4 linked regions of the Alligator mississippiensis genome follow. The protein of the gene in region 4 purifies or fractionates together with the protein of the main gene of each other region. This does not show direct contact. Links are inferred from orthologs where the notes say so. Each region holds a gene or a part of one and is shown on either strand. Other genes may lie near its edges.

Region 1 (7,986 bases), on a different chromosome or scaffold from region 4:
TAGTCCAATAATTTGCATTTTTAAACAAGTTATTTGCATACTGTGCAGTTATTGCTATCATCTGCAATTTGAATAGTTTTCTACTTTTGCTCATAGTCCTTTTAAAGAATAAGTCCTTGCAATACCTTCAGGAAACGTAACCAATTAAAAATTTTGAAACTATTTCTTCTTCCGCTAGACCTGAACCAATAGGAAACTCAACAGTGACCTTTTAAATTCATTAATGAATGATCTTTGTCTTTGAATGCCAGTAATGGCTTTTGTCTTCTCCACTTACCATCTGGCTTTGCACTGTTTTGCTGACTTTCTATGCAACAAAGAAGCAATCCGAGACCACTGGTTTTTGCCATATTTCATTACAGCTGCTTTAAGAATTTCATCCTTAAAAAGAGAAATAGTTGTTATTACTATGGGTCAGTAGTAAACTTTATCAGAGCCAAATGCTCACTTGCAACTCAACAGGGAAATGTAGACAAGGCTTCAGCAAGGGTTAACACCTGAAGGTAGATGTGATTAATGAAGTGAAAATAGTGACAGTCATTTATTCTGAGTATACAACAGCATTTGGGGAACAGTCAGTCTCACCATTTCTCCTGTATGGTTAATTTCCATTGTTTGTGTGGGTCTTTCAAGGAGCAAGAACATCCTATTTTTAAAAAATGCACACCCGTGTAAATATCATGAAAATCAGGGCAGGTATACAGCTAAAACTGACTACTTTTTTAAAGCAGTCTTTATTTCAAGATGATGGTGTCTTTATTTTTCAGGACTGTAGTACCTGACAGTTCAAGTCATGGGTCAGAACTCCACCATGCTAGATGCTGTACAAATGCAGAGCAAAACTAGAAGCTTCAGGGATGCAACACAAATTACACAAACTTATCCCAGCTTGCCTGCACCAGGTCTGTACTAGTAGAGCTAGTGGTTTACATGCTTATATTTGCCCCTTAGGCCTACAGTAAACTTTTGTTCTCCTATAAGTGATTTAGTAAGCTATGGGAGAGGCAAAGATTTTTTGGGGGTGATTCCTTTTACTGGACAGCTGAATAGTTGGGATAAAGTTAGACGAGCTTTCAAATGCTCAAAAGCTGAAAAGCTTGTTACCCCTTTTGAGACTTTCCTGGGGGCAGAAGACAATGCTTTCCTAAATAATTGAGTGGAAACCAGAAGTCTTATTTTGTGCAGCCAAAAGCACACAAGGGGGCCATAAAAAGTGCAGTCTATGAAGTGCTCCATCGCTATTTGCTACAGCTTTGACTAAGGATATGGTGGGGCAAAATGGAAGGGCATCCACTGTTGACAACAGACAGCTGGGGTCAACATATATTCAGCACCAGTTCAGCAGCTAATGGTGCCGATCGCAGGTAAATTTTCCTAACACCGAAAAGCCCTTCCAAAGTGCGCTCTGGCTTTAACGGGAGGCTGATGAGTTTTGGTGCAGGGTATTTCAGGAGAATATTAAGTATTTAATATGAAACATGCTCTACGTATTTACTTTCATAAGCCTCAGATTCCCTTTTCTTGGTAGTTTTTATTTCTTTGCTGGCAGTTGGTAACACAGGGCCCTTCTAGATATTGAGATAAAGGTGTGATGGGATCTGATGCATGATCCATACTATCATGCCTCCTGCCACACCAGACATACATGGCAGGAAGCATGATTGTGGCATTCAACATCAGATCCAATCATGCCTTACTGCTTATGCGGGGGGACCCTGAAATCACGATGCCCAACTTCTCCTGCACTGACAAGTGGCAAGCTCCTGTGGCAGTGACCCCTGCAGCTGACGGGGCTCACAGCTGTGACAATGCGTGGGACACTGCCATGACTGCAACTCCAGCAGCTGCAGGGCTTGCAGCGTGCATGGTGCACAGCTGAGCCCCGTCACAGGGGTGGCCACATGTTCAACTAATGGTGCGATAAGAACAAGCCACGAAGCAACGGCACATATTTTATAAAATAAATTTTATGACTTATTCCTCCTTTTACCACACCAGTAATTTATGAAGCATGTGGCCGGGTCACCACTTCAGACACGATTCCCTGGTCAATTGTGTCTTAAGGGTCATGTGTAGCGGGGGGGGGGGGGGGGGGAGGGGGCGGCCCATGGGTGCAATTAACTCTGTGACAGTGAAACAGTCACAGCGGTTTTTTATCGTGACAAATCATTTGCTTCATGTCAATCATCCAGTGATGAGATCTCCAAGCCTCTATGCCAGGGGTGGGCAGGATGCGGCCCGCCAGGACATTCTATCTGACCCGTGGCGGCCCTAAATAATTTAGAAAATTAATATTAATCTGCCTCTGGCTGCCTGTCATGCGGCCCTCGATGGCTTGCCAGAACTCAGTAAGCAGCCCTCTGCCCAAAGTAATTGCCCAGCCCTGCTCTATGCCCGTCTTGGGGGTGGGGGGAGGATCCCTGAAGATGAGAGATTATTTGTGCTTTGCCCCAAAATAAGCAGCACGAAGGCTGCTTAGGCAGGAGCTGAACCAGAGGACTTCTCTTTGCAGAGGGCTGCTTTGCAGCTTCTTACTCCATATACCACCACCCCAAAGGAGGGAGACTGAGAAGTTAAAAACAAAAACTCAAAGCGGGACTAAGAATCCCTTAATCTCCCACGTGAGCCCAAGAGACCTGAGCTGCGTTTGGCCACAAGGAAGGAAAGCAGCCCAGTACAAACACACAAAGCGCATGCGCACGTCTCCCAGCCTCCTCCCCCTATAAGTGCATGCGCAGGACTCCCGGGCCCTTTTCGGCGCATGCGCTCTCGTGTAGAAGCGCCGTCCGTTGACTGGCCCCGTGGGAATCGGGAGGGTACGGGAAGGGCCTACCTCGGTGTTCCTCCACACCCCGCCTTTAATCATAATCCGCGGCATCTTGGCGGCGAAGTGGAGCGGGCTTCGCAGCGGAGAAAACCGGGGCGGACGGGGGAGAGACGCCGCCGCCGCCGCCGCCTGTGCGCAGGCCGGGATAGGATTCTGCGCAGGCTCAGTGAGGGCAACCGAGTGTCAGAGCTCTGCGCATGCGCAGCGGAGAATGTCGGCCACCGTTCGCGCATGCGCGGGCGCAGAAGGCGGGGAGAGGGGCTGAGGCGCGGAGCGAATCTAGCGCCCCCTGGCGCGCGGAGGTGATGTTGGCGCGGGGATCGCTGAAGGGCCACGTGTGTCCGTGCTCTGCCCCGCAGGTGCTTGTGCTCGCTGGCGAGGCTCCCTTGAAACCCTCGCACAAGTGCAAGCCCCAGGGCCCGCGCCATACAGCTGCCCCTGCACTGGCACCAGTGCGTGTGGGTTTGGAGGCCTGGCAACTGTAGGGCTACTGCAGACCAGGGGCAGTATTTCTGGCTCCTTGCTGGGGTCGTGGGAGCGGTCAAGGAGCTTGCCCGAGATGAAGATCCTGCGTCTGAAACCCGCCCCCACTGAATGCCCCGTCTGCCTGCTGTGGAAACCCATCTTAAAAAGCGTGTTTGCAAGACAAGGGTCTTTGGGGAAATCTGGTATCAGATTTACCCCCCCGAAAAAACCTCATCTGCTTACATCCTTAGATCACCACGGCTACAACCTACACCGTTGCAAGACAACGGGTCTGTTCTGATCCACGAGAAACGTGCGGGTGCTGGTCGGGAATGTTCGCTTCGCCCGCGCTGACATCCTTGTTTGCAACGTACCTTTTCTATGCAAGATCATTTTGTGGAAGTCCTAGAGAAGCGGGGCTGGAAGGGACCTCCGGACGTCACCTAGTCCAATCCCCTGCCTGAGGCAGGATCGTCCCTATCCAAAGCTTCCTGCGCAAAGCCGTCATCTAAATAAACTTAGTACAATTACTGTCAATCCTGATGTGACACAAGATGTAACACCCTAACTTGCCAGAGGTGCAAGAATGCAATTTGGGACATTGGGCCAATGTCCTTTAATAAAAGGTTGTTAACATTTGCTCAAGACATCCCAGGGAGAGCCACATCCCCTGCTAGAGAACGGCAATCCCTCCGTCCCTCTCAGTCTATACCAATCTGACCTTGGGGTAAAATTCCTTCCTGACCTCAAATATGACCACTGGTCTGACCCTGAGCAGAGGGGCAAGACCAGGAACTTCTGGCTTTGGTCTCAGCAGAAACATTAGCACATCCCAGCCAAAATCCTCAGCCTTCCCTGTAGCCAACACCCAATGCCTTAGAGAGGCTTAAACACATCCTGACACGTGTAGCAGTAAGGAGGGGAGCAGATTAGGGGATTCTTAGTATTACTTTCGCCCCATTTCTACCTCTGTTGGGATAATCGCATCAAGTAAGCCACCCTAAGCAACCCCTGCCATTAGAAATCCCCTGGTTCAGCCCCTGCTTAAGCAATCTTGCCACTGCACATCCTGGACATGCAAATAATGTCTACTATTGTATCTACTATTGTCTACTAATGTCTACTATTGTATCCAGAGTAAAGGGCCCAGTGGTTGGTCCCTCAAGCTGTATTTCTATTAGGAAATGAAATAGCCACTGCTTTGCTGAGCAGCCTTTGTACACTCAGTTTTAGAGGGACAGTTAAAAAAACCCCTGATAAAATGAAGTAGCTTGAAATCAGTTTGTGATCACTGCAGCACAGAAGCATTTTGAAAAATTTCAGGGTATTCCAAGATACTGCTTTACAATGGTTATTAAAATCTTACAATTATTACAGTATTCATTGCATTTTGAAGAAGCCATATTAATCTGTTTATAAAGGCAAAGCTGTAAATACTTCAATGGCTAACACTGCATTTTACCAACTTTTGAGCTAAGGTTATTTTAACACATTTAAGACTTTAATAGTGGAAATGTACATCAAAACCATGTACATTATCTGAACACAATTCTATACAAACTGATGAATAGAGATGCAGCACGTTTCCATTATTTATCTTTTCCATATGGGTAGCAGAGAGTTTTTCAAATGATATGGGCAGCAATGCAGAACATGAACTTAAGTGTATTTTTCAGAAACAGCAGTCCACGTTTATAACAGATGCAGGAATCAACTTAGTCACCTCTTCTAAAATAATTTACTTTATTTGATATAAAATCCTACATAAACAAAACTCTTCATGGGTTATGAATTTTAGTAAAAAACAAGGTACATGGGAAACAAGCAGTGCTAAGAAAAGTCTCCTTTAAATAACTATTAGCTAAAATAATAAGAAAAAATTAAAAGACCCATACTTTTTCTATGAAATGTTTATGACCCTGGAGAAGATTTTCTGGACTGGGCTGCACAATAACTAGGATAAAAGTGGTGGGCTCGGCTGGAGCCAACCACGCTTTGTAACTTGCACTTCCAACTTTTTTGGTTGCAAACAAGTTTGGTATTTATCCAGAAATGAGTTTTGAGGATGCTCAGCATCTCACAAAATTAGGCCACTAAAACGGTGGCATGCAAAATATAGACGATTATTTCTGTCAGGCTGCCTGAAAAGTAAATAAGCATCAAAAGATGCATTCACATCAGCAATTCTCAACCAGAGTGCTACGAGACACCCGCAGGAGCGCTGCGATGCCACACATTGTACTCTTGCATTAGAGTTCCCTGATAACCCTAAAGCAGGCAGGAGCTGGCTCAGGCTGTAGGTCTTCCCAGTCTGTCCCCGTTCCCACTCGACCTGGAAACAGAGGCATGAGAAAGAGGCGCACAGGTGTAACTGTTCCCGGGACTGCCAGACTGGGAAGGGCTATAGGAGGAGGTAGCTCCTGCCTGCTTTAGGTTAATGAGAGAGCCCTACACAGGAGGATCACACACAAGTGCCACGGCCATTCCCAGTCTGGCTGTGCAGCAGGTAAGTAGGGCAGTTTTATCTGGAGGCAGCAACAGCCGGTTGACAAGCACTGAGGTAAGCTGAGCCAGCAACAACAGTGGTTCTCAACTGGGAATGTTGCCACATTCAAAAAAGCAGTGGAGGGTGACTCTGGAAAGTCTTTCATTTCTCCTCTCCAAGACTGAAAAGGCAAGATGTCAACGTGGATCAGTGGCTAGTAGTCTATTGACTGGAATGCGTTTACACGTACCCTTTAACCCGCATTGTACATCTCTAAATTGGTGATTGCAATGACCTGGTTCCATAAGTTATTTTCTTAAGTCCGTCCTCTGGACACTGGTATAGAAAACCCCCAGAACAGGGATTGCAACATACAGCAAATGGGAGGAGGGATCCATTTTCAACTAATTTTTCACACAACTCTGCAATTTTTAGTTTGCAAGTTGCTGATGTGCTAGAAAGAATTGGATTAAAAATTATTTCACTTAAATATGTTTTGTCTGCACATCTCAATCATGTGGTACAGAAAAGATCAGCCTACTATAAAGGTGGGGCCTGTACTGAAAATAAGTACAGGAACTCAAATAGCACCTCACATCCTTGCTCACAAGGCAATGGTAGGTGGTGCAAAAGTGTGTTTATCAATCAGGTAGGCACTTACAGAACAACTCTTTCCTATACCAACCCTGGCCTAGATTTTCACCCTTTTCTTAAACTACATTGGGCTTTTAACAGCTTTGAGTCTTTTTAACACAGCACATGATGGAACTTAAATTGAAAATGTACATGTGTTTTACGCCCGCTTTATGCATAATCCCTTAATTTCCATTCAGTGTACTATAGCCCAGATCCCATGGATGCTTCCACAATTTTTACCATGGCAACTTTAAAATTGATGACAGTTGGCATAGTGGATGCAGGGCAAAGAACATGTTTGAAATACTGTGAACTTCCTGGAGCTTATAACCCCAAATTTTAATGAATCCTATTTTACTGTCTAGTCTTCAAACACTGCTGATTGATGGTTCTATACAAAACTGAGGATGGAAAGCATTATATTGAACTTCAGGTATCTGCAGGTTTATCCTTGTGCACTTTTATGTGCTTCTTCAAAGCATATTTATCCCTAGTGGAAAACTCACAGGAATTGCAGTGTAACTTCAAATGAGTCAGCAAGTGGCGCTTGAGGTGGCTCGATGTGCGGAAAGCAAGAGCACACTGGTTGCACGTGTACGGCCTTTCACCTGTATGAATTCGCAAGTGTTGCTTCAGGTTTCCACTGTGAGCAGTGGCATAGCCACACTCTTGACACCTGTAGGTTTTGACAGACAATGGTGATTGCTCTTGGAGCTTGGTACCATCTATATGTGTAACCAGATGCTGCTTGAGGGTTTGCCATTTGTCTGTTGAATAGTCACAGGTTTTACATTTGAAGAGCTCCGTGTTGAAATGCAGGAGCTTGTGTCGATTTAGGTGACTTGTGGTACGAAACTTCTTCTCACAAATATCACAGGCGTGGGGTTTTTCACCTGTGTGAATCATGACGTGGAGCTTAAGGTTACTTAAAATGTATGTCGTGTAATTGCATTCTGCACACTTGTAGTATTGGGCTTGACTTTGTGATGGCAGAGCATTTTTGCTTTCTTTGCCCCTGTAAAGATCCATCGGTTTCTCAAAGCTTTCTGGGCTGAACATGGAATGGACACGCTCCAAGTCTTCCACAGAACTAAGATCATTTCTTCTTAGAGTTGTGCCCTGAGTTTTACACTGCTTTTTAATACGTTTTGAACTGTTCCCTAAATACAGGTAAGAATCATCATATTTACGACATTCCTGTAAGTGCATGTAGCTATGTCTCCGCAAATGGCTAGAGGTCCGAAACATCTTGCTGCATTCATTACACTCAAATGGTTTTTCACCAGTGTGTGTCCTCAAATGCAGCTTAAGGTTGCTATACATGTAAGTGGCATAATCACAGTGCTGACACCTGAACAGTTTGAAAGAAGTCCTACTGGGTGACCTTGTGGCATTAGGCGTAACACTTTCCAGAGGCTCATAATTTGTAACAATTTCATTACGTCCTGGAACTTGTGAAGGAGTGACCTCTTGAGACAACTGCGGCAACACAAAATCATGCTGGTAAGTATTAGGAAGATTTTCTGATCCATTGTCTACAATAGACAGATTGCTACTTTGCTGCTGGCTACTT
Region 2 (7,294 bases), on a different chromosome or scaffold from region 4:
GTTACGATGGGCACAAAATCAACAACTCCAAAGAACAAACCCAATGTACTTATAAGGTTTCATGCAGCTTTCTGAGCAATTGATCTACTTTCCAATCAAGTGTTAGGACTTTCCACAGGACTATTCTGCAGATCACCCTGGCAAACAGTGCAAGGAGGCCTCTTTTGCTTCTCAGAACATAAAAGGCTGAGAAGCTGAGGCCAGAGAAAACTAGAAGGTGAAAGAGAGGTCCTAAGAAGGGCTGGCTAAGAAGAAAAACCAGGCTAACGTTTGCATTGCGAGTACAATTCTCTTTCGAGACTTTGTTACACAGCATGCACATGGTGCATTAGATCAGAACAGGACTCTCACCTATGTATACATCAGACAGCTATCATTTAAAACATCACATGTAAGGAGACTTGAATGCATTTACTTCTTTGCAAATTATGTAACTTCATGCTAAGGTAAAACTGACTACTGAGCCTTGCTTTTATTTCAGATATCCAAAATAAAATGCACAAGCAGTAAATAGTGACAAAAGCAATATTCTGTTAAAATTAGAGGCAAATCTGTCAAGTCTGTCAGTGCCAGAATATAAGTGAAATCTACTAAGAGGCCTACCTCCCACTGAGAGTGCAAGGAACATGACACATCCTTGCCCTTGCAATCAGGGCCTACACCGAATGAATTTTTCAACAGCAAGTAGATAGCCAACAGACATAGGAAGCTCCTTGAGTAGGAGAAAGTCAGAGAAGAGGAAGAGTGCTCAGACTTACTTCAAAAGGGTTGAGGTTGAAATAAGAGGATCCAGGACGGGTCAGCCTATCAATCTGGTTTTTTGATGTTAAAACAGAGTCTCGCTTTTCGATCTGCTTCACCTGGAGAGAGGGACAGTTATTACAGCATAATGAATTATACCCTTTTGTAGTGACCATGGGAGCTTTGCTGAGAGGAGGAAGAGACACCTGACCCCAACTCAGGCCTGTAGCCATCAATTCAGTGGGGACATTTCCTTATATAAGAATTAGCTAGAATCATTTGTCAACCTTTTACACTGTGATGTTGTACAACAGCATTTCTCAACCTGCGGGTCATGACCCAAAAGTGGGTTGTAAGAATATATGGAAGGGTCATGAACAAACTTTAAAAATGGATTCTCCTTTAAAGTAGAAAAAATAGTGGGAAACCGTGGATTTTCCCTGGCAGGCTGGCAGAGTTCCAGCCTGCCAGGGGCTGCTTGGGGCCCCCTCCATGCCCCACACCCCACACTGTAGGGGCTGAGGCCTGGGGCAGGGGTTCAGAGTGAGAGGCACTGGGTTGGGACTGTCCATCGATGGCTACAAATGGATCCTGGTACAAAAAAGGTTGAGAACCACTGCTATACAGCACTGCTCTATTTACCCTCCCTGTTGCCTTTCCGCTGTACGAGTTCAGAAACTGCTTTTGCTTCTGTCTGCAGCTTCCCATTAAGGAGAGGTGCCATCCTCCACAGTGCACCCTATTCTTGGGTGTCCCACCAGTACTGCCTTCTGCACTCTCTAATCTGCATAAACTCTCTCAGGCTTTAGGTCCTTACAGACCTATGCAGGTTTAACAGGGATATTTTAAACGGATTTAGTAGAATTGCTGCAAGCTCCTGGACACATATTTTGGGTTGAGTGATTTTCAGTTTAGCTGACTTTCATTCCCTGCAGGATTAAGCTAACCCGAAGTAATCATTCCACTACATGCTTCTGTTGGCCTAACTGACTGCTGAAAAGGTGCAACAGTCACATAAAAGAATCGGGAAGAAAACTCCCTTAAGCATTAGTGGGATGACAGATTTCCAAGACTCGGCTAAGCAGGAGTGGAACAACAAGCTCGACACACAGTGCTTACAGGGTCACGCACGAAATCTCTTTCAGCGCACGAGACTCCTATCTAGGTTATGGTAGGAGAGACGAGCCATATGAAAAGTACAATTATGGCTGTATGTTGTGGCTTAAAATGCTGCATGTGAACCGCACCTACTTGCAACACGCAGTGGGATAGGGGTGGAAAGAGCCACCTTAAGATAAAGGAGGAAAAACATCCCGCCTCTGAAACTGTCTAGGTTACTGTGAGGTCAGGACCATCTTGCCCAGGCTCCTGTCAAGCTGTGGCAAGACCGTAGATGCTGAACAGGAGCTGGGTCTGACCAGGGCTTTTCCCCACTGCTCCTCTCTCACTCACCTAGGGTGTGCGCACATACTAAAGCGACTTAAAATAAGGCGACTTAACTAAATCAGCTTAAGCCACGTCACAGTGTACACATGTACAGCCCCTTGCCGTGGCAGCTACTGTCTGAACTATCGCAGATTCCAGAATCCGAGGTCCAGGGAAGGTCTGTTCAGAGGCCGGGCCCCTCGTTCCCGGGCTCAGCAGCCACCGAAGCCCCTTTCCTCCAAGGCTGCGTCTGCTCCTCCGGGAACCCGGCTGAGCCGTCAGCTGCCACATCTGGTGGCAACGCGCTCCACGCCTGCGTGATAGACGCCGCGCGACAAAAACTACCTCACCGCCTATTCGGACCCCTAGTTCTCGTCTCGGGAGAGTCGATAATACGTCTCTAGCCGCTCGCCATTTCGTAAATCCTTATCGGGGGCCGCTCTTCCGAGCCAAGCAGGCCTCTCGAGTCCGCCCCGCACGGCGGCTGGTCCCCGCCGCCACCATGGCACCAACCCGCGGTGGGGCGTTTCTGCATCCCCCCCAAAACCCTGCTGCTGTCAGGAGCGGGGGTTGCAGCACGGGCCTGCCAGGCCCGCCGACCCCAGCCCCCGGCAGGCACGGAGGAGCCCCGGGCCCGGGCCGGAGCAGCAGGGGAAGGCGCGGAGCTCGCTCAGGGCCGCTCCCAGCGCACGGCCCGGCCCCGCCGCCTTCCCGGCCCCGCGCCGCGCCGCTACCTCGGTGTAGAAGGTGAGAAACGCGTCCTCGGCGGCGACCCCCGCCCCGCGCTCCGCCGGAGCCGCCATTGCTCGCACCACGTGATGCGGGCGCCCTCCCCACGTGACCCCCACCGGGCCCCGCCCCGCCCCGGCGGCGCGTCACGTGACGAGCGTCACAGAGCCCCGCCCCCGGCCGCTGCTTTTCCCGCTTTCGTTGCTTTTCCCGCCCTGCCCCGGGGCTTACCCGGGTTAACACCAGCCAGAGCAGTCGTGGGGCCACGTGGCTCGTGTGATCTGTCCCACGCAGTCAGACCTCGGGGCTTTTATTTGTTATTTATTTATTTTAATTTCATTTATTTATTATATTTTGTTCCAAACCTGGTTGACAAAGGCACCTTGGCAAAGCCCTGGCGGACGCAGGGTCTCACCAGGGACAGGACGCTTTCACCGTTTCATTCAGAGAGCTCGTCGGTGAGCACGAGCCACACCTCTGCTGGAGCCAAGTTCTGTTATAAACTTCTGCCAGCGAGACTGTTAGTTTAGGGGGTAAAGAGCGGCAAACCCTGACAGAGGAAACTGGCTGGTCGCCTTGCTGGGGTCACCTGACCCCCGTTGCCTTTCCTGCCTAGTGCGGGGGGGGGGCTGGACCTGATGATCTTGCAAGGTCCCTTCCTGCCCCGAATGATCTATGAATCTTTAAATCAATGGCCAAATCAAATTCCAAATCCGTGAGACAGTCCAGCACCATAAGTGGCCTACTACTGGCAAACATCCTCCACCCCCATCTGGGGTTTCAGATGTTTCCAAATCCTTTGGTGGGCATCGTATGTGCAGGCCGGAGCCTGGAGGCTTGGGGTTTGGATGCCCCCGAGTTTCGCTTGCCTTTAGCTGTAGGCCCCAGGAGCAAGCTAGGGAGGAGTCCTTAAAAGTGGGTGTAAAGCCAAGACCGTCCCACTCCAGCAGCTAAGTGGGAAGTTTTACTGCATGTGACCTTGGCGGGTGCTATCCCCATGCCAGGAGAGTGGTCTTCCCCAGGTGTGACTAGGAAACCGCTTCAGGGGTCACCTTGGCAGGTAACCATAGGACTACGCTTGATCTGAGCCCACCAGAGGCTGAGAAGCTCTGGGGCCATGAACGTCACATGCCCCTGTGGTGCTGTCAGCAGCAGGAGCGTGGCAGCGGCAAGTGGGGCGCTCCCGCAGGCAGCTGCAGTGCTGGCGGTGGCAGGGTGGCAAGCGCTGACCAGTGGTCGGCGACCACCTCCAGATGCTGCCAGCAACATCAGCAGCAGCCAGCGGCAATCACGGACCGCCCACAGACACCGGCAGTGGTGGGGTGGCGAGCAGTGACTCTGCAGGTGCCGCCAACACTGCTTTTCTCAGGGGGTGCACATGCACCCCCTACACATTGCCAGTGCTAGGGGCTTTTATTTCATCTGGAGAAGCACAAGACAAGCCAAAGCAAGTTCCTCTGAACCAGACGCAGGTTTATGGGGATCTTAGCAACCAGGCAACATCTCCAAAAGCAGCAATATCCAGCAGAGGAGATATAGACCTACTCACTACCGGGTGGCCAGGTCTCAAGGTCCTCTGAATCTGTCCTTACGGCTCAAGGCACTTTCTGGCTCTCACCCCTCTGCCTTTGTGTGGGAAAGTTTTGTTCGGTTCAGGTTCATATTTCCATATTCCCACCCATTCCTCTGAGATAACTTGGCCAACTTGAGTAGGGATCAGAGTTATGACCTGTGACCATTTTTCTTAACCTAGAGTCACCTTAATAGCATTGGGTGCAATCATTGACCTATACAGCTCAACTCGGATGTGTGCGTCTCATCTCCCTTGAAACTGTCTCTCAACCTGCTTTCCACACACACTAATCTCTGATTCAGACTGAACTGCTTCTGGGATCAGAGCATGTGGGAGGAGGAATATAGTGACACACCCACACAGCAAAAAGTGGGGAGGGGTGTCCAGGACTCCCTGATGGGGTTTCTAAATAGACGATCTAAGTTTCACACCAGTTGCCTTCTTGATGCTTATGATTGTGCATATGATTTCTGGTTCTTAGGCCTTGGGTTTATATTTATTTGTAGGTTTGTCACCAGTTTCCATTGAACTAGATAAGCAAGTCTGAGACCAACACCTCCCACCCCTTCTTCATCTTGATACAACAGTCTTTAAGATCACCCCATGGTCAGGAAAGCTAAAGCCATGTCAGTAAAGCCATTTGCACAGCTGTGCATTCACCCACAGGAGGCATCTGTCTGTCTTCACTTCTGGCCTTGACTGGAAGAAGTGAAAAGAACATCTCTTCAAGCCCAGTTCCTTCACCCTCCGTTTCGCAGCCCTGCTGCTCCTTTTGGCCTGCTCAGATGGATGAGTAGTGGTATCATTTATGCCCACTAGTCAGAAAGCCAGAGGATTCTTGGCAACTTATCTATAATGTGGCTTTCAGTTCCCAGCAGGCATCCTACTTCCTAATGCCTACTGACTTGAATGTCAACTCAGACTGATAAAGGACCGTTACTGTCCCCCTTAGGGAAACAATTAATGGAGCAAAGATGGGAACCACAGAGATGCACTATAAAGATTTTTGCTACTTGTATTCAGTAACCAATGGCAGTAGTATGTTGTCATCCTCTATCTGGAGCAGCAACCAGGAGGGGCTGGGCAAAATCAATACCTGCTTTGAGAACTGGAATTGCATTAAAACAGAGGTGTTAAACATACAGCCCATGGGCCAGATATGGCCAGCTGAGCCTCTCTGCCTGGCACACCAGGCTACCACTGGGCCACCAGAAGTTGGGGGACATGGTCTGCCACCAAATTCATGGTCCTTTCGCCTCACCACCTTGGCTGTCAGTGGTCAGCTTGGCTCACTGCAACAGCACTCCCAGTCTGCACTACAGACCAGATGCTGCCACATGCAGAGCGGCCACCACTGCCAGACTTGCAACTGCTGCTGCAGCTGCATTAGCCACCCTCGTGTCTCAGGCTGGTTCCCGACTGCAAGGAGCCCAACAGTCTAGATCCAGCCTGAGGCCCTGGGTGAGTCTGACACCCCTGCATTAAAATATCATGCTCCTGTGTACTCCTCACATCCTCCACTGATTCCTATTCAGCCACCTTGACCTGTCTGCTTTTTTCTGATAGAATAGGTGTGTTAAACATATGGCCTGCAGGGCTCCTGTAGAGGCCAGGAATTTAGGAGCATGGCCTGCTGCCAAATTCTTGGGTATGTATTTCTGTGAAGGTCAGCAAGCAGCAGCTGCATTAACCCCCATGGCTACCTGATGCCATTTATGTTGCCACTATCTGCCCTGTCCTACTGCCAAAAGTGGGTCTGGAGCCCTGCAATCCAGATCCAGACTAAGGGCCAAATGAGTTTGACATTCCTATGCTAAAGGAAGAATGACATTGGTTATCAATGGAAAAATGTTCTTCATCTCCTTTAGGGACCATGTTTTGTGTAATGAAAAGGTCATTCTATACCCTACTGGTGGAGAAAGTGATGCTGTCGTGTCATTCTATTTAAAGTTATAGCCATATTAGCAGTGATTTGCTTTCTGAGGTGGACTGGCAGGTACAGACTGTGACTTCTGTGATACTTTAAAACAAGTTCCTGCCAGTGTCTGCCCCAATATTTGTATCACCTGGAGCTTTTGAGCAAGCTGTTTCACAGCATTTGTTTTCAGTTTTCAGCCATTGATCATATTTGTAAAACTTCTCTTCTGTATCTGCACTTTGCAGGAATTTTTCCATCATCTTATCCAAGGTTAAATTTTCAAAGCAAGTTTGCATATTTGGGGATGCCTGACTTGGGGGGATACTGGTCTTCAGATTGACATCTGTAAAACCTTCCCCTTCAGTGGTGGGGTGGTGAAAGGAGGCAGTCTACTTTGATGAGGCAGCTCGGCATAGGAGTACTCGCTTAAGTCCTTGTGCAATTTATTGTGGGAGGATTTGAACTCTGTGCCCTCCTCCAGCTCTGGGCATGGTGGGGATGCCTGGTACGTGTGGCCCAACAGAAGGCAGCAGCAGCAGGGGCTGTGGCAGCAGGGTGAGGTGAGGACAATTAGTAGCTGGGGCCAGAGGAACCACTGGGATAACCCCAGCAGCTGAGAATTCAGGCCATCTCATTGAGGTGCTTGTAGGTCATGTCTGTGCACCTGTGTTTCTTCAGCCTGTCCTGGCTCTGCTCAAACTCAGATTGAGGCTTCTGATTCAGATACAGCATTGATTTTGTGTGTTTTTGGTTGTAGCTGTGTTGGTTTAAGGACTTGGAGATGCTGGTGCTTCTCAAGGTGGACTTGTAATCGGTGCTGGATGGATTTTTTTCAGAACAGATATGTGTACTGGCCTGCTACCCAGCTGAGCTAGGCTTCAAACACACCACATCAATACAGGCAAGAT
Region 3 (7,041 bases), on a different chromosome or scaffold from region 4:
GGGAGGTTGTATGGACAGTTGGCAAAAGGTTGCTGCAGAGAAAGGGGTGTGCGAGCTCTAAAAGACCTGTCACGATGAGCCAGAGGGCTAAGATTTACTTCTGTGCAAAGGAGAGTAGGATGCTGACCCTCTTCGCCGAGGCAGGCCTCCCGCCCTGCTTCCCTTCCGTATTGCACAGCCAGGTGTAGCACAGCCCAGCTCATCCTGCACTGTGACCACACTGCCTAATCCTCACCTGTAAAATATCCCTATGACACCAACCCTGGGTCATCATCGCTCTAGTGGGCAGCACTGTTTGCTTTCACTACGGCTGTCCTAGCCCCATCCCACATGGCTTCCCACACCTCAGTTCCAGCTTGCAGCTACTAGCTCAGCCCAACACTCCCATTCATTCCTGAGCCGAGTCACGGGCATATAAGGGGCTTGAGCGAGTGAACTAAATTCCTGTGACTGGGATTTAACCTCTGGCCCCCAAAGCTGAAGGGCCAGTGATTGCTGTTTCTCCAACAGCTCTTACTGGGCACACCAGAATAACCTTGATTTCACCACACAGATTGTGTGGCTGAGAGGTCACTGGTACCACCTAACAGCTTTCAGAGCTAGCTAATTAGAAAGTCACATTTTTGCACAGCAAATCAATCTTCCTTCGGGCTCTGTACAGAACTGCTGTGTGCACAGATCCATTGTCATATGTACTTGTGGAAATAAAAGAAATGTGAAACGTGATCCAGCAAGGCTCAGTTGATGTGCTTATACCTGCTGCCTGCGCCCAGCTGGAGACAGCAGAAACTTGTTACAGCTCCGTGTTTATGATGGTGTCTGGTGCAAAGAGCAGAGAATGGTTATTGTGGGTTTGCATTTTCACCAGCACTTTGTCTGGGGATACAACTGAATCTGCAGTTCGCTGAACCTGAGTCTTTGCTTACACCTGCACAAAGCAAGCATCAGGCTCCAGTCTGGCTGGGCACCCAGGTGGGAGGGCCAAAGATGCCTAATTGTGGTTGGCATCTGATGAAGTCAGCCCTCTGCTTACCCAAGCGCATGCTATATGTCTCTGACTGAGTTAGTTTAAAAGGCACAAAGCTACCCAGGCTTCTGCCCAACAGGGCTAGCTGCATCTCTAATTCTGGAGTGCCACCGTGTGGAGCTCAGCTCAGTGGTAAGTCAGTTTACAAAGACACCAGTGTCTGGAACAGAGGGCGTTAGGCTTCAATGCTGCTCGTCAGAAACCTCTTACCCTTCACTGGATCCCAGGCAAGACCTCATGTCAAAATGGGGTTTCTTGAAGACTTTTTTGGACTTGTAAAGCAACTCCCACACAGGAATCCCCAAAACAGTTGGGAAAAATGAAGACCTGACAAAGAACGACTTGCATGTGAAAGTCTGTCTAACTTTATCCCAACTATAGAGTTGGTCCAATAAAAGAGGTCACCCTAAGAAATCCTTGCCTCTCATGAAAAATGAATGACTTCTCAATATCTGTGGAGGGTAATGCTCATATTGTATTATGCATGTGAAAAACCGAGAAGCCTGGGATGGCTGGTGCAAGGTTGATGTGAAGCAAGGGGTGTGATAGTTGTAGAAAGCCTGTCACAATAAGCCAGACTTTCTAAGACCTATGGCCATACCTTTTCTTGAGTTTCAGTGCCTAAGTTTGCAGGTGCTCAAGGCTGAAATACTCAGGATTTATTCTATTCATTACAGGTTTTTATAAAGTAGAATCTGAGCCCCTTACAGTAGGGCATCAAAGCAGTGAAACTAACATTCATCACATGGTTGCTCATCTTCCCATCCTTGCTTCAGGGGAAGAGCAGTGCACTAGGGAACTTTGTTTTGTTCTTAAAAATGTCACATTGCCTTGTGTTCACATCAGACAGGGCAAGGTCAAAGACACTTGGAGCATGAAGTACTGAAGTGTGTGCTTGCCCTTAGGCATCCATTCCTCAACCCACGGAGCCAGCATCCTGCATTTTAGGAGAATTGGCAACACTTTTCAGCACCTGCCACCCAAGCTCAAGTCATCAAGAGCTGCAGAAGCTCAGCACCTCTGACTGCCAGCCCTGCAGTTTCACAAGTTGGGCAAACAATCCTAATAGTCATTGATGACTGAGCAGCGCATAACCCAGCAAAGTGCATCCAAGCAGTCTTAAGCAAAGCCAGGAATAGAACTGCGACCATCTCAGCCTAGTCCTCTGCTTTGGCCCCAGGCAGCACTTGCACTCCTCTGAACTAGCGCACAGTGTCGATGCAGTGGTCATCAGCCTTTTCTGCATGTTTTAATGTGTTATCTTCAAAGGCCTATCTCATCTCACAGGCAACGCCTGCAGTCGAAAAGGAGACGCAGCATAATAAAGTTGGTCTAATACAAGATAGCACATCTACTCAAGGAACTTTGCCTGCCAGCATAATACACACACTCAAGGATTTGCATCTGGGGTGTCTGGGATCTGGCTGGCACATTGGGCCTTCAAAGAGACCACTAACAAAATGAAAGGCTCGGTGCAGCAGCAGCCCTTTGATCCAGCCACTGCCTCCTTTCTTCCTTCCAGCTTTGCTCCTGATGGCAGGGACAGGTCTACTCCTTTACACCAGTTCCCCCTGGTGGTGAGCGAGGGTGGCCATCACAGAGGATATTCCGGTTTTCTGCTACTCTGTCCTCTATTGATACGAAACCCGACGCCTTCATATCCTCTATTTTTTTCTTCACCATATGGGGTGGCTTCCTTTTTGGGTCACCCCACACCATGTCTTCCCACACCACGTCTCCGTGGCTTGCTTTCTGTACAGTGTATTTTATTTTTCTCTTCAAGAGAGAAATAGAGGACATAAAGGCTCCGGGTTTCGTATCAATAAAGGACAGAAGACAACTGGACTGTCATCTAGGATGCCCACCCTACGGCGAGCTGCCGGATCTGCTTGCCAGAGGCATCTTCGAGCTCGGGGCGGTGTTCGCAACGCAGCCGAGCATCGAGGATTTCTTCACGGAGCAATTCGTGCTTTACAAATCCTGTCTTGAAAACACTCCCTTTCATCCGATTGCTCTGATGCCTGATGAAGGGCGCTTGTGCCTGAAAGCTTGCAACGAAACAGATTTTTGCAAAAAAAAAAAAAAAAAAAAATTTGGTGGCCTCTACCACCCGCCCCGATCCCTTTTTCCTCTAGACCAATACAGCAAAAATCTTGTTGGTCTCATAAAAGATATCACCTCTACCACGTGCCCCGAACGCTTTTTCCTCTAGACCAATACGGCTACAACCTGGAAGACGGAAGAGACTGAATTTTAGCCAGTTTTTTAAATGACATCTTCCTATTTCCCCACGCAGGGAGCAACGGTGACCGGCTGAAACCCGAGGTCCTGCTCCCGCCTGGGTCCAGAGCCATTTGCACCATCACAGGCCCGCAAAGGAGGAGAGAGGCTCCTGGCCAGCTCAGACCTGCTGCCCCGGGCAGCTTTCACCCCCCGCTGTGAAATCCCAGGAGACAGGAGCTTGCATTTCTGCGCAGGCCTTGTGCCATCTTTCCCCCGGTGTCCGATGAAGGGCGCTTGTGCCCCAAAGCTTGCAATTAGGGGTTTTTTTTGGTGTGTGTGCAAATATCTTGTTGGTCTGAGAAAGAAGATTGCCTCCACCCAGGCCCTGCCTGCCTCCCTGCAGTGCTGGGCTGTCTGCAAAGTGAGGGTGAGGGGCAGCGGGGTGGAGGAGGCGCAGGGACGGGGCTGAGCACCACCCCTGCCCTCAGTGTCCCTGCTCCCACACTGGCCGCCACGACGGCGCTGTGCCACCCTCAGGGCACCGCGCTCGGCGCTCGACTACTCGCCCTGCGGCAGCTTGAGGCGCTCAGCTCCTCGGGCGCTCGGCTCTCGGCTCCTCGCCCTGCGGCGGTTCGAGGCGCTCGGCTACTCAAGGGGCGCTCGGCGCTCGGCTCCTCGCCCTGCGGCGGTTCGAGGCGCTCGGCTACTCAAGGGGCGCTCAGCGCTCGGCTCCTCGCACTGCGGCGGTTCGAGGCGTTGGGCGCTGCGCCGCGCCCGGACGTGACGTAAGGCGAGGCGGCGCAGACCGGAGCGGCGGGAGCGGAGCGGAGCGGTGCGGCGTGGTTGGCGGCGGCAGGATGGTGAAGCTGACGGCCGAGCTGATCGAGCAGGCGGCGCAGTACACCAACGCCGTGCGCGACCGCGAGCTCGACCTGCGCGGTGAGCGCCCCCGGCGCGGCACGGCACGAGGGCCTGTGGGGGAGGGGCAGCCCTGGTGGGGGGAGGGGTGGATGGAGGGGGGTGGGGCTGCAGTGCCCTGTGCTGACCCCCCGCCCGCCCGCAGGGTACAAGATCCCGGTGATCGAGAACCTGGGCGCGACCCTGGACCAGTTTGATGCCATCGACTTCTCGGACAACGAGATCCGCAAGCTGGACGGGTTCCCGCTGCTCAAGAGGCTGAAGACGCTGCTCATGAACAACAACCGCATCTGGTGGGCTGGCGCCGCACGGCATCGGTCCCGGGCTCGTCCCGGGCGTGCGTTGGTTGCCCCCCTGGGGGCGGGGGTGGAGTCGCAGACGGGCTCCGAGCGGGGCTCGCAGGTTGTGACTGCCCCGGCACGTAGACCTCCAGCGCCCGGCCTTCACTTATCCTTGCTTCATGGGCACGGCAGCTGAAGCCGGAGGCCGGGACGTGCCCGAGCCGCCTGCGCGGGGCTGTCGCTGGCCGTGGCTGTGCTGCGTAACAGCAAGCGTAAATGGGAGACGGGCCAGGACATGGGAGACGGTGGGCCGGCCGGCCGGCGCGGGAGCTGCTCTGTCGCTGGAGATAAAGATCATAACAGAGCCCAGGCGCTCCGCTCCCCGCACCCTCGACCCCCGTGAATCTGGGGGGCGTCTGATGATTCAAATGCGTGGCGGCAGATTGCAGTTTTTTCCCAGGACTCTTACTGAAATTTTCTTGAGCATAAAATAAGCTTTGGTTTTTCTTTTCTTTAATATATTTATTGTAGTCGGATTGGTGAAGGGCTCGAACAGGCCATGCCCAACCTTCAGGAGCTCGTTCTGACGAACAATAACATTGCAGAGCTGGTAAGTCTTCCGTTACAAATATTTAGGGCTAAGTTTAAGTTACGCGTGTGTCGTTTGTTTTTTCTCATGCTCGCTCACGCTCTCTCTATTTCTCTCTCTCTCGTATGTGTGTGTGTGTGTGTGTGTGTGTGTGTGTATGTATAGATATCTATATATGTGGGGGGGGGTGTGTGTATGTATAGATATCTATATATGTGGGGGGGGTGTGTATGTATAGATATCTATATATGTGGGGGGGGGGTGTATGTATAGATATCTATATATATATATGGGGTGGGGGGGGTGTGTGTATGTATAGATATATAGATATCTATATATGTGGGGGGGGGGTGTGTGTGTGTATAGATATCTATATATATATATGGGGTGTGGGTGTGTGTGTGTGTATAGATATATAGATATCTATATATATGGGGGTGTGTGTGTGTGTGTATAGATATGTATACACACACATCTATCTATCTATCCAGATAGATAGATATTGATATAGATATACACACACACACAGAGCTATATAGATAGAGATATATCTATATATGTGTGTGTATCTATATATCTATATATCTGTATAGCGACACGTATGTATATGCAAAGAGAGATAGATATTAGATGACCTTTTGAAGTTAAAACCATTGTGTTAGTCTCCATGTGTACACTAGGACAGCTGTTCTTACAAGGGTAATCTTTCTGCCGTACAATGAAGCAGGAGATGTTTTTGAGATTCATTGTTTTTTTCACATAAAAATGTTACAAGGTGATAGTATGTAAATAGATCGAATATCTCATTTAGCTAAGGATGTCCAGCACTGTTCCCAGGACTGGGGCATTAGCATTTGCCTTCAGATACTGGATAGTGTAACGGAAAATGTGCAGCTCAGTTAAAGAAAAAAACCTTACATTTTCTCTAATATTCTAGTTTGATTAGACTTGAATGAGCTAACTAGTAAAATGGTCATGGGATTTTAGTAAATGTGGATGAGGAGGTTTCACAAAAGTCATTTTAATGCTTTGGTGTTTTTGGTCTGTTCATTTCACAATCTTGTGAATTAAACGGACCCAGAACTATTTAATTTTAAACTTTTTTTGTTTTCTGTTCATTTGCACACCAAAGTAGAGATTAGGAAAAAGTATTGAAAAATTCCTACCTCTTGAATTTTGTATTCTTCATCAATGAGTAATAGTGTTAGTACGTTACCACTCAAGGCTTTTTTTTTTTCTTGGCTATGTCTGTATAACTCCTCTGAAGTCAGTGCAATTGCACTGGCATAAATTAGAACATAATTTAGTCTTTGGTATGGAACTCAAAGCATATTGAAATGCTTGATGGCATGCTTAATACTCGCTTACTTGGTTCTCCATCAGCTATTTGTAGCTTAAACCTGAAACTTGCTTATTGCTTACTGCTGTTTCTGTTACCTTGAATGAATATTATCTGTAAGGTCTGTCTCTAGTGAAGATTTTGGTAGTATGATTATGTGAACCACTGCAAAGTATTTGTCATCATTTTATAAAAACATTGACAGGATATTGCTTGTAGAAAGGTAAGGCATTTGTTGAATATTTTTTAACGGACATGATTTGGAGGTGTGGGGGTGCATGTGTGTTTGGTGTGGGGTTTTTTGGGCCTAGCACCATACTAGGTATAATTTGTATTTGACCAGTGATTTGGATGTCATTGACAATACTGTAGACTTGAATCGGCTTCTTTTAGTTTTGGACTGCTCTGAAATAACTCATTGCATTACCATTTTTCAGGGTGAGCTGGATCCACTGGCAACTGTTAAATCACTGACTTACCTGAGGTATGAAATCTTAATTTGTTTGAATAGATTTTTTTATATCATGTTGTATATTTCCTTATGGTTAACGACAGCTTTAAATTGGTTAAAGATGCATAAATTTTGATGAGTGAGCTCTCAAATTGCCAAAAGGCTATCAAACGAAATAGAAATGAGCTGTTACATTTGCATTGAGTGCTATGT
Region 4 (7,208 bases):
TTGCATTTTCAGGGCTTCATCCACCACTTTCCACCAACACAATGCTCAACCTCTAATCACTTCCTTTACCCCATGTTCCTCCTCACCCAAAACCCACTCCCCTGTTGTAGTTCTCCCCCTTTTTCACTCCTATGTTTGGTTATTTTGGGAACTGGCAACTGACTAAGGAGCTATGTAGGATCTGACAGGAATGGCACGGAGTCCTAGACCAAGGGTCAGCAACCTATGGCCCATGGAGCCAGAGGGTTTCACCCACTCTGGGGGGCTTTGCCCACGCTGTGCCACAGCCAGGCAGCAGGGAGGAGCAGTGGCAGGTTCTAGCACCAGCCTGCTTCTGACCTGAGCTGGATCATTCCAACCCTCTGCCAGAAAAAATGTTGCTGACCACTGTCCAAGACCTGCTCCAATGCACATACTTATGTTACTTTTCCAAAGTCCTTCTCTAGCTGCATAAAGTTAATCATACTTTAGTTTGCAAGCATTTAAATTAATAAAAATTCAATAATATGACAGTTCATTTATCTTATTTCTCAGCAATCTGCTAATTCACAGCAGAGCTAGTGAATACTATGGTGGACTACAAGCACATCAATCAAATACATTTAAATATTTTTTTTTACCATTCAGTCCAAGTGCCTGATTCTACACAGCCAAATACAGGGACAGGTTTTAGCCACCCAAACATTCAAAAACAATATACAGACAGTTTACTGGCATCATCTCTTTGGAAGTTAGCCCATTTCCTAAGGGTTAAATCTGAAGATCACTCAATCTTATGTTTATTAAGCTTGACAGCAAAGTAGACTGAAGAACTAAAGAAAGAGGCTCAAGCCTAATGAATGATATTACTTAGCCAAGAAAAAACTCTCTTCAAGAACAGCCCTAAAATCAAGGGTATCCAGATTAATGCAAAAGAAAGTTCTTTAAGCAGAACTACTCTGCAGAGCCCAAACTAACCAGAGACACTGACAGACAGTTTTAAGCAGTGTAAAAAAGATATAGCATGTGGATATACCCAAGGAGTAACCAACATACTGTATTAACGCTTTGGTAATGAATGGCAACTTGTGCAATGTACACACAGATGCACTCCCCCGCCATCAGTGACCAACCTCTACACAGATTCATAGACGTTAGGGTCGGAAGGGACCTCAATAGATCAAGTCCGACCCCCTGCATAGGCAGGAAAGAGTGCTGGGTCTAGATGACCCCAGCTAGATGCTCATCTAACCTCCTCTTGAAGACCCCCAGGGTAGGGGAGAGCACCACCTCCCTTGGGAGCCCGTTCCAGACCTTGGCCACTCGAACTGTGAAGAAGTTCTTCCTAATGTCCAGTCTAAATCTGCTCTCTGCTAGCTTGTGGCCATTGTTTCTTGTAACCCCCGGGGGCGCCTTGGTGAATAAATCCTCACCAATTCCCTTCTGTGCCCCCGTGATGAACTTGTAGGCAGCCACAAGGTCGCCTCTCAACCTTCTCTTGCGGTTGAGAAGCTTCTTTGAGAAGCTCTCAGGGACTTGGAAACAAGCCCTCCAGAGCCTAAATCAACAACACTTCAATACTGTCTGTTCTCATTTTTCATAAGAAACCAAATGCTCAACTCACCTCATTGTTGTGCAGCGTCAAGCAGAGTTTGCATTCATAAGAGCCCAAGTGATTTTTCATAAAATAGGGATCCTAAGAAATAAAAAGAGAGTCACAGAAATTAGAAATCACACGCAAGTATCCGTAGCCTGTCTGCATTATATTGAACTCTCAAAAGTATATGATGTACAATCGCCGTGGCATGGAAAGAGGGATCTTAGCTTCTTGCTTTAAATCTTGAGGATAATTTTCCATCTGAAAGGACTTACAGAAAAGAGGGAGGAAACAGTTATTTTTCACTGCCAACAATATTAACACTGCTGCGCAAGAAAATTGCAACATAGGACCCAATACTGAGAAGCCTGCAGTCGAGACAGACACAAGCACGTACGTGATCCAATGACAGTGTCTCTCAATTCAGTGTTTGACAGCGTCTCTTCACGAGGGGATCTTAATTCAAGAAGATTTCATTCCTATCCACAATTCTCAACTAAAACCTTAATTCTGCGAGTGGCTTCACGCAGGTGGAGCACCGTCTGAGAACGGGTGTGTAAAACCAGATGTACATAACAGCTGGCAGGGCAGGGCCATAACTAAGGTCCCTCCAATACGCTTAATAGTAAAACTGCTATGTTTTGCTCATTTACCTCTAACTTCTAGGTCAGCCACATCCTCTTGCCAGTGATTTACTAGACACGGCCTGCACCGGCCCAGGCTGGACTTGGAGAAGCGACATATTCCCTTCCCTCTGGCTACTGACACGCGCCAATCGACTCGACTTCGGACAGCGCACGTTCGCATTGCACCGCAGCGTACCTCGGCGCTAAAATCCCACAGACCCACGTCCCCCAAATATACCACGAGACCAAAACGCACCTTGTTGATGTCGATCGTCTCCAACGCCAACTGCCGGAGCCTCTCCCTGCGGTCCCGGTTACTCTCCGAGGCCGAGGCGACGCCTCCGCTCCCGGTTTTACCTCCAGGTCGATGCTGAAAATCCATGATTTTGGTCTCTGGGGCTTCAAATTATTGAGAAGGAAAAGAAAAAAAAGAACCCTAGAAAAAGCAATGAAAAGAGGACGTGAGTGTGAGATACGCGAGCTGCGAGTTAGTTAATCGATGGGGACGAGCAGCAAAGCTAGAAACTGGGATTTCGTCCCTTCGCGCTCGTGACACCGAAGGGCGCAGCACCCAAGCGGGCGCAGGCGACAGTGACCCGCGACAGGGCTGCCCGCGAGGGGGACCTCCGACACCCCGCCCTTCCCCTGCCCCCCGCCTGACCTACTGCTCCGCTCTCCGCTCCCTCCGGCCCCGTGTGGCAGCCTCGCAGCGAAACTCCCCCCGCACAGCACCCGGGCAATACTCACCCTCACAGGCCGCGTCTCGGCACTGCGCATGCGCCCCCGCGCCGGAAGGAGGAGGACCAGGCTGCTTCCGGCCGCCGAGCGCATCCGGGTCGCGCCAGAGCAAGGGCTTCCGGGGCAGGGGGCGGGGCGGGGTTGGGCGCGCGCCGGGCGCGCAGCTGCTTCCGCGTTGGCGGCGGCCGGCGGGGCCGGGCCGGGTCGGGGCCGCCATGCGCTACAGCGAGCGGGAGCTGCTGTCGCTGTCGCGGCAGCCCGCCGAGAAGGCGGCTGAGATCCTCATGCGCCTGCCCAAGAAAGGCAGCGGTGAGGGGCGCGCGAGGGGCAGGGCAGTTGGGGGGCGGGGCAGTTAGGGGGAGGGGCGAGGCCACATCCTGGGCCGTTGCCGGCCCCTGGCAGCGGTGGTCGGGGGGCGCGGGCGAGCCAGGCTGGAAGCAGGCGTGGGGAGCTGGTGTCCCCTTCCCCTGGCCGCGAGGGGGTTTGGGAGGTGGGGACGGGCTTGGAGAGCCTCTTGCGGGGCAGTTACAAGACGGTCCCCTGAGTCCTCTGCCACGGACCGGCGCCGCCGCGGGGTCCTGTGAGATCGGGTCACGCTGGAAGGTCCCTGACGTGTGGGAAGGGACGAACAAATCCATTTGGTCTGTGAAGTGGAGGCGGCCGGAGGGGCCTGTTCCTTGTCCTGCCACGCGTGGACTGTGCCTCCGCCCGCGCCTGCCCGGGGTCGTCTGACCCCAGCGCTCTTTCCTGCCCGGGGCAGGGGTCGGACTCGATGATGTAATGGGTCCGATCCGACCCTAAAATCTATGAAACGCCCCTCGTGTTGACAAGATGGCTCCTGCTCTTCATCCCACAAACCAGCTTCTGAACGGTCTTTCTCTCTCTTTTTTTTTTTCTCTCCAGTGCTGAAGAAACGCCTCGTGAAGCTGGTCGTCAACTTTCTCTTCTACTTCCGAACCGATGAGGCGGAGGTACAGGAAACGTTTGGTGCTGCAGGTCGTGTTCAGCGTGGTGGGGTGACAGACCTGCTGTAGCCCTGGTTGTAAAACCCTTTGTAGCATTTGACAAACACAGTGAAAATATTTAGGCCACAAAAAGCAACTGCTGTGCCGTCTAACCTTGGCCAACATATTTTAGGTGTCCTGGTCCAAGGGCAAATCAGGAATGTCAAATGTTTGGCGCATGGGTGGCATCCAGCCTGCAGAGGTGGGTTATGCAGTCTGTGGAGCCAGAAACTCGGTGGTGGGGAGCGCAGTGGGGGTTTAACACTGTCACCACGTGCCCCGCTGCCAGAGATGGGTCGTGGTGACAATGGTGGCAGCTTGACTTGCACCGAAAGGGACCTAGGGGTAATGACTGACCATCGCATGACCATGAGCCGTCAGCGCGAGGCGGTGGTCAGCGGGGCAAATGTCATGCTGGCACGCATCAACCGATGCATCTCGTGTAAAGCTAAGGAAGTGGGAGTCTCGCTGTGCTCAGCACTGGTGAGACCGCAGCTGGAGTACTGCGTCCGGTTCTGGGCGCCGCACTTCAATAAGGACGTGGAGAAACTAGAGAGGGTCCAGAGAAGAGCCGCCAGTATGATCAGGGACTTGCGGGGCAAGGCATATGAGGAAAGGCTGAGGGACCTGGGCCTCTTTAGCTTAAAGAAGAGAAGGTAGAGAGGGGACTTGGTAGCAGCTTACCGCTATGTCGGAGGAGTGCATGAGGAGCTCGGTGAACAACCGTTCACCGGGGCACCCTCAGGAAAGACCAGGACCAATAGATACAAACTCCTGGAAGGCTGCTTCAGGCTTAATACCAGGAAAAAATTCTTCTCCGTCAGGGTGTCCAGACTGTGGAGTAAACTCCCTCCAGAGGTGTGCAGTCACCTATCCTGGAGGTTTTCAAGAGGAGACTAGACAGTCACCTCGCTGGGGTCACTTGACCCCAGTTCTTTTACTGCCTAGAGTGTGAGCAGGTTGGACCCAATGATCTGTGAGGTCCCTTCCAGCCCCTGACAATCTATGAACCTGTGAATCTGGCCTCTGAGAAGCCCTTTCGTCTGGATCCAGCCCAAGGGAGCAAATGAATTTGACACCCGTGTCTTAAATATATTTCACTGTCACGGAGACTTGGGGACTTTAGTGTTTACATGTTGGAAATCAGTTAGTTTATGGAAACTGAGAGGGAAGGCTATTTTAATCTCCTTCCCTATCAGTAGAATTGGGAGTCCTTTCATAATCTGAAGTCCTGGTCATTTTTCTTAAGTACATCATTGGTTATATATGCAAGACTAAGTTTAATAGGAAATCACATAGTTATTCACATTTTGTTACTATTCCTCCCTTTGCAAGCAGAAGGGGTTAGAGCAGGGGAATGGGAGATGGGGCTCCTGTGTCCTGCTTATGGCTCTGACACTGACTTGACACATGGCCTTGAGCAAATCATTTTAGATATCTTTAACATTTCTGTATGTTACTACAGATGGATGGAGAACACACAAATAAACCAGCAAACATTTTGAATTAAAGGGTAGTGTTTGCTCAAAGGCTGCTCTTTGCCATGTTACAAATTATATTTTAGTTTTAAAATTTTCCATTTGCTGTCTTTTTCTAACCTGAGTAAAATGCAGATAGAAAAAATAATAATTCTATTTCTTGCTTGTGCATATTTTCACGCTCTACTTCTCTAGCGTACTGCACCAGTATTTGGGCTCTAGACACAACAGCGGAACCTTTGTGTGTTTATGCAGGTTTATTTTAATGTACTGATGCACTTTTCTTTAAAAAAAGTGAATTGGAGCTCACATTGTCCTGACCACACTTGCCTGTCAGATTTGATTTTGTAGAACAAAAAAATAAGCTTTTACACTTGCCACTGATATTTATATAAAATCCCTTTAATGACACTGAGCAAAGAGCAGCTAATGCCTTGTGCAAACTTTAGTCAGGGAGGAGACAAACTTGATCAAAACTGAAAGTATCGTTACACCCCTTCATAAATCCATTGTGCATCCACACCTCGAATGCTGTGCCCAGTTCTTTGTCCTCACACCTGAAAAAGGATATAGAAGAATTAGAGAAGGTACAGAGACAACAAGGATGATTTGTGGTATGGAGAGGCTTCCATATGAGGAGAGACTGCAGAGTCTAGGCCTGTTCGTTTTAGAAAAGAGATGCTTGACTAGGGACATGGTAAAGGTTTCCAAAATACTAAACGGCAAAGGGAAAGTAGGTAGGGATTTATTATTTACTCTCTCTCAGTACAAGAACTAGGAGTCACAAAATGAAACTAGTAGGTAGTAAGTTTGAAACTAACAAAACAAAGTTTTTTCACACAGCTTGTTATTAAAGCTTGGAGCTTGTCACTACCAGATGTTGTGGAAGCTGACAGTTTAGTCAGATTCAAATGGATTGAACAGATTCTTGGAGGGAAGGGGCATCAGTAGCTACTGAACACAGGAGTTAGGGGGACAGCCTTTGAATTAGAACTTCCTAGACCTTAAATGCTGGAGGCTGCAAGTGAGAGAGGAACAGTGGGAAAAACCCACTTCACTCTCCCTCTCAGCATCCACTCTTGGCCAGTGTGTGACACAGGAGACTGGGCAAGATGGACCTATGGTCTGACCGAGTACTTGGCAGTTCTTATGTTCTTACAGTATAATGAAGTTTGATTGCAGAAACAGAGAAATTGGGTATCTGCAGAAACCCTCCATTAGGTGTAAAATAAATGAACTAAAAGCAGTTTCAGGTTAGATGCCTAATCTAAAGGACATCTGATGATGTCTTTGGTTTTACAGTTGCTTTCTCCTATCTCTAAAAATATATTTTTTCATTATTATGAAAATTCTGTGCATAGAAACCATGTCAGGGGTAAATGGTGAAAATAGACACCATCAAAATCCCTGCGAGTATCTAAGTAGCATAAATGCCCTAAACCACCTTAGAAATCCTAGTTTGTGTTGTCTTCTTTCTGTCGTATGAGTTGGTTGATGTCTCCCACATACTCTTTGTAGTGTCCATTGTGTGTTAGGGAGTTGACAATGGGGAAAGGTATGTTAAACCTTCTTTTTGGGTCTTTTTCTAGCCAATTGGAGCTTTGCTGCTGGAGCACTGCAGAATTGCCAAAGAAGAGGTGAACGTCTTTTCAATCAGTGAGTTTGGGATGCAGATTCCCATTCAGTTTCTCTGTAGCGGTCGGTCCCAATGTGGTATGCACCATTGTAGTCTCCATCATAGACCCTGTCCATCCGCTGGTGGAAGAAAGGCAACATGTAAAGATGT

What was found.
Region 1: the proteins of SF3A2 (region 4) and CDC5L purify together in Homo sapiens (affinity purification with mass spectrometry; 3 studies listed by BioGRID and IntAct, with this or other methods). This does not show direct contact. The link is inferred for Alligator mississippiensis from reciprocal best matches to the Homo sapiens genes SF3A2 and CDC5L.
Region 2: the proteins of SF3A2 (region 4) and DNAJC8 purify together in Homo sapiens (affinity purification with mass spectrometry; 3 studies listed by BioGRID and IntAct, with this or other methods). This does not show direct contact. The link is inferred for Alligator mississippiensis from reciprocal best matches to the Homo sapiens genes SF3A2 and DNAJC8.
Region 3: the proteins of SF3A2 (region 4) and SNRPA1 purify together in Homo sapiens (affinity purification with mass spectrometry; 8 studies listed by BioGRID and IntAct, counting the BioPlex papers as one, with this or other methods). This does not show direct contact. The link is inferred for Alligator mississippiensis from reciprocal best matches to the Homo sapiens genes SF3A2 and SNRPA1.

Annotation. Positions count from the first base shown.
Region 1 is NC_081824.1:11,837,147-11,845,132, reverse strand, and holds the start of CDC5L (cell division cycle 5-like protein), read right to left. Parts: upstream 3,001-7,986; 5' UTR 2,879-3,000; coding exon 2,834-2,878; intron 382-2,833; coding exon 278-381; intron 1-277. Other genes in the region: zinc finger protein 107, read right to left, coding at 6,843-7,986.
Region 2 is NC_081829.1:9,952,468-9,959,761, reverse strand, and holds the start of DNAJC8 (dnaJ homolog subfamily C member 8), read right to left. Parts: upstream 3,009-7,294; 5' UTR 2,970-3,008; coding exon 2,901-2,969; intron 861-2,900; coding exon 759-860; intron 1-758. UniProt on the Homo sapiens protein: Suppresses polyglutamine (polyQ) aggregation of ATXN3 in neuronal cells.
Region 3 is NC_081834.1:6,848,434-6,855,474, forward strand, and holds the start of SNRPA1 (U2 small nuclear ribonucleoprotein A'), read left to right. Parts: upstream 1-4,027; 5' UTR 4,028-4,107; coding exon 4,108-4,189; intron 4,190-4,313; coding exon 4,314-4,461; intron 4,462-4,980; coding exon 4,981-5,059; intron 5,060-6,814; coding exon 6,815-6,861; intron 6,862-7,041. UniProt on the Homo sapiens protein: Involved in pre-mRNA splicing as component of the spliceosome. Associated with sn-RNP U2, where it contributes to the binding of stem loop IV of U2 snRNA.
Region 4 is NC_081839.1:7,019,660-7,026,867, forward strand, and holds the start of SF3A2 (splicing factor 3A subunit 2), read right to left. Parts: upstream 3,014-7,208; 5' UTR 2,950-3,013; intron 2,928-2,949; exon of another isoform or gene 2,864-2,927; intron 2,639-2,863; 5' UTR 2,585-2,638; coding exon 2,459-2,584; intron 1,676-2,458; coding exon 1,604-1,675; intron 1-1,603. Other genes in the region: PLEKHJ1 (pleckstrin homology domain-containing family J member 1), read left to right, coding at 3,156-3,249, 3,844-3,911, 7,012-7,078. UniProt on the Homo sapiens protein: Component of the 17S U2 SnRNP complex of the spliceosome, a large ribonucleoprotein complex that removes introns from transcribed pre-mRNAs.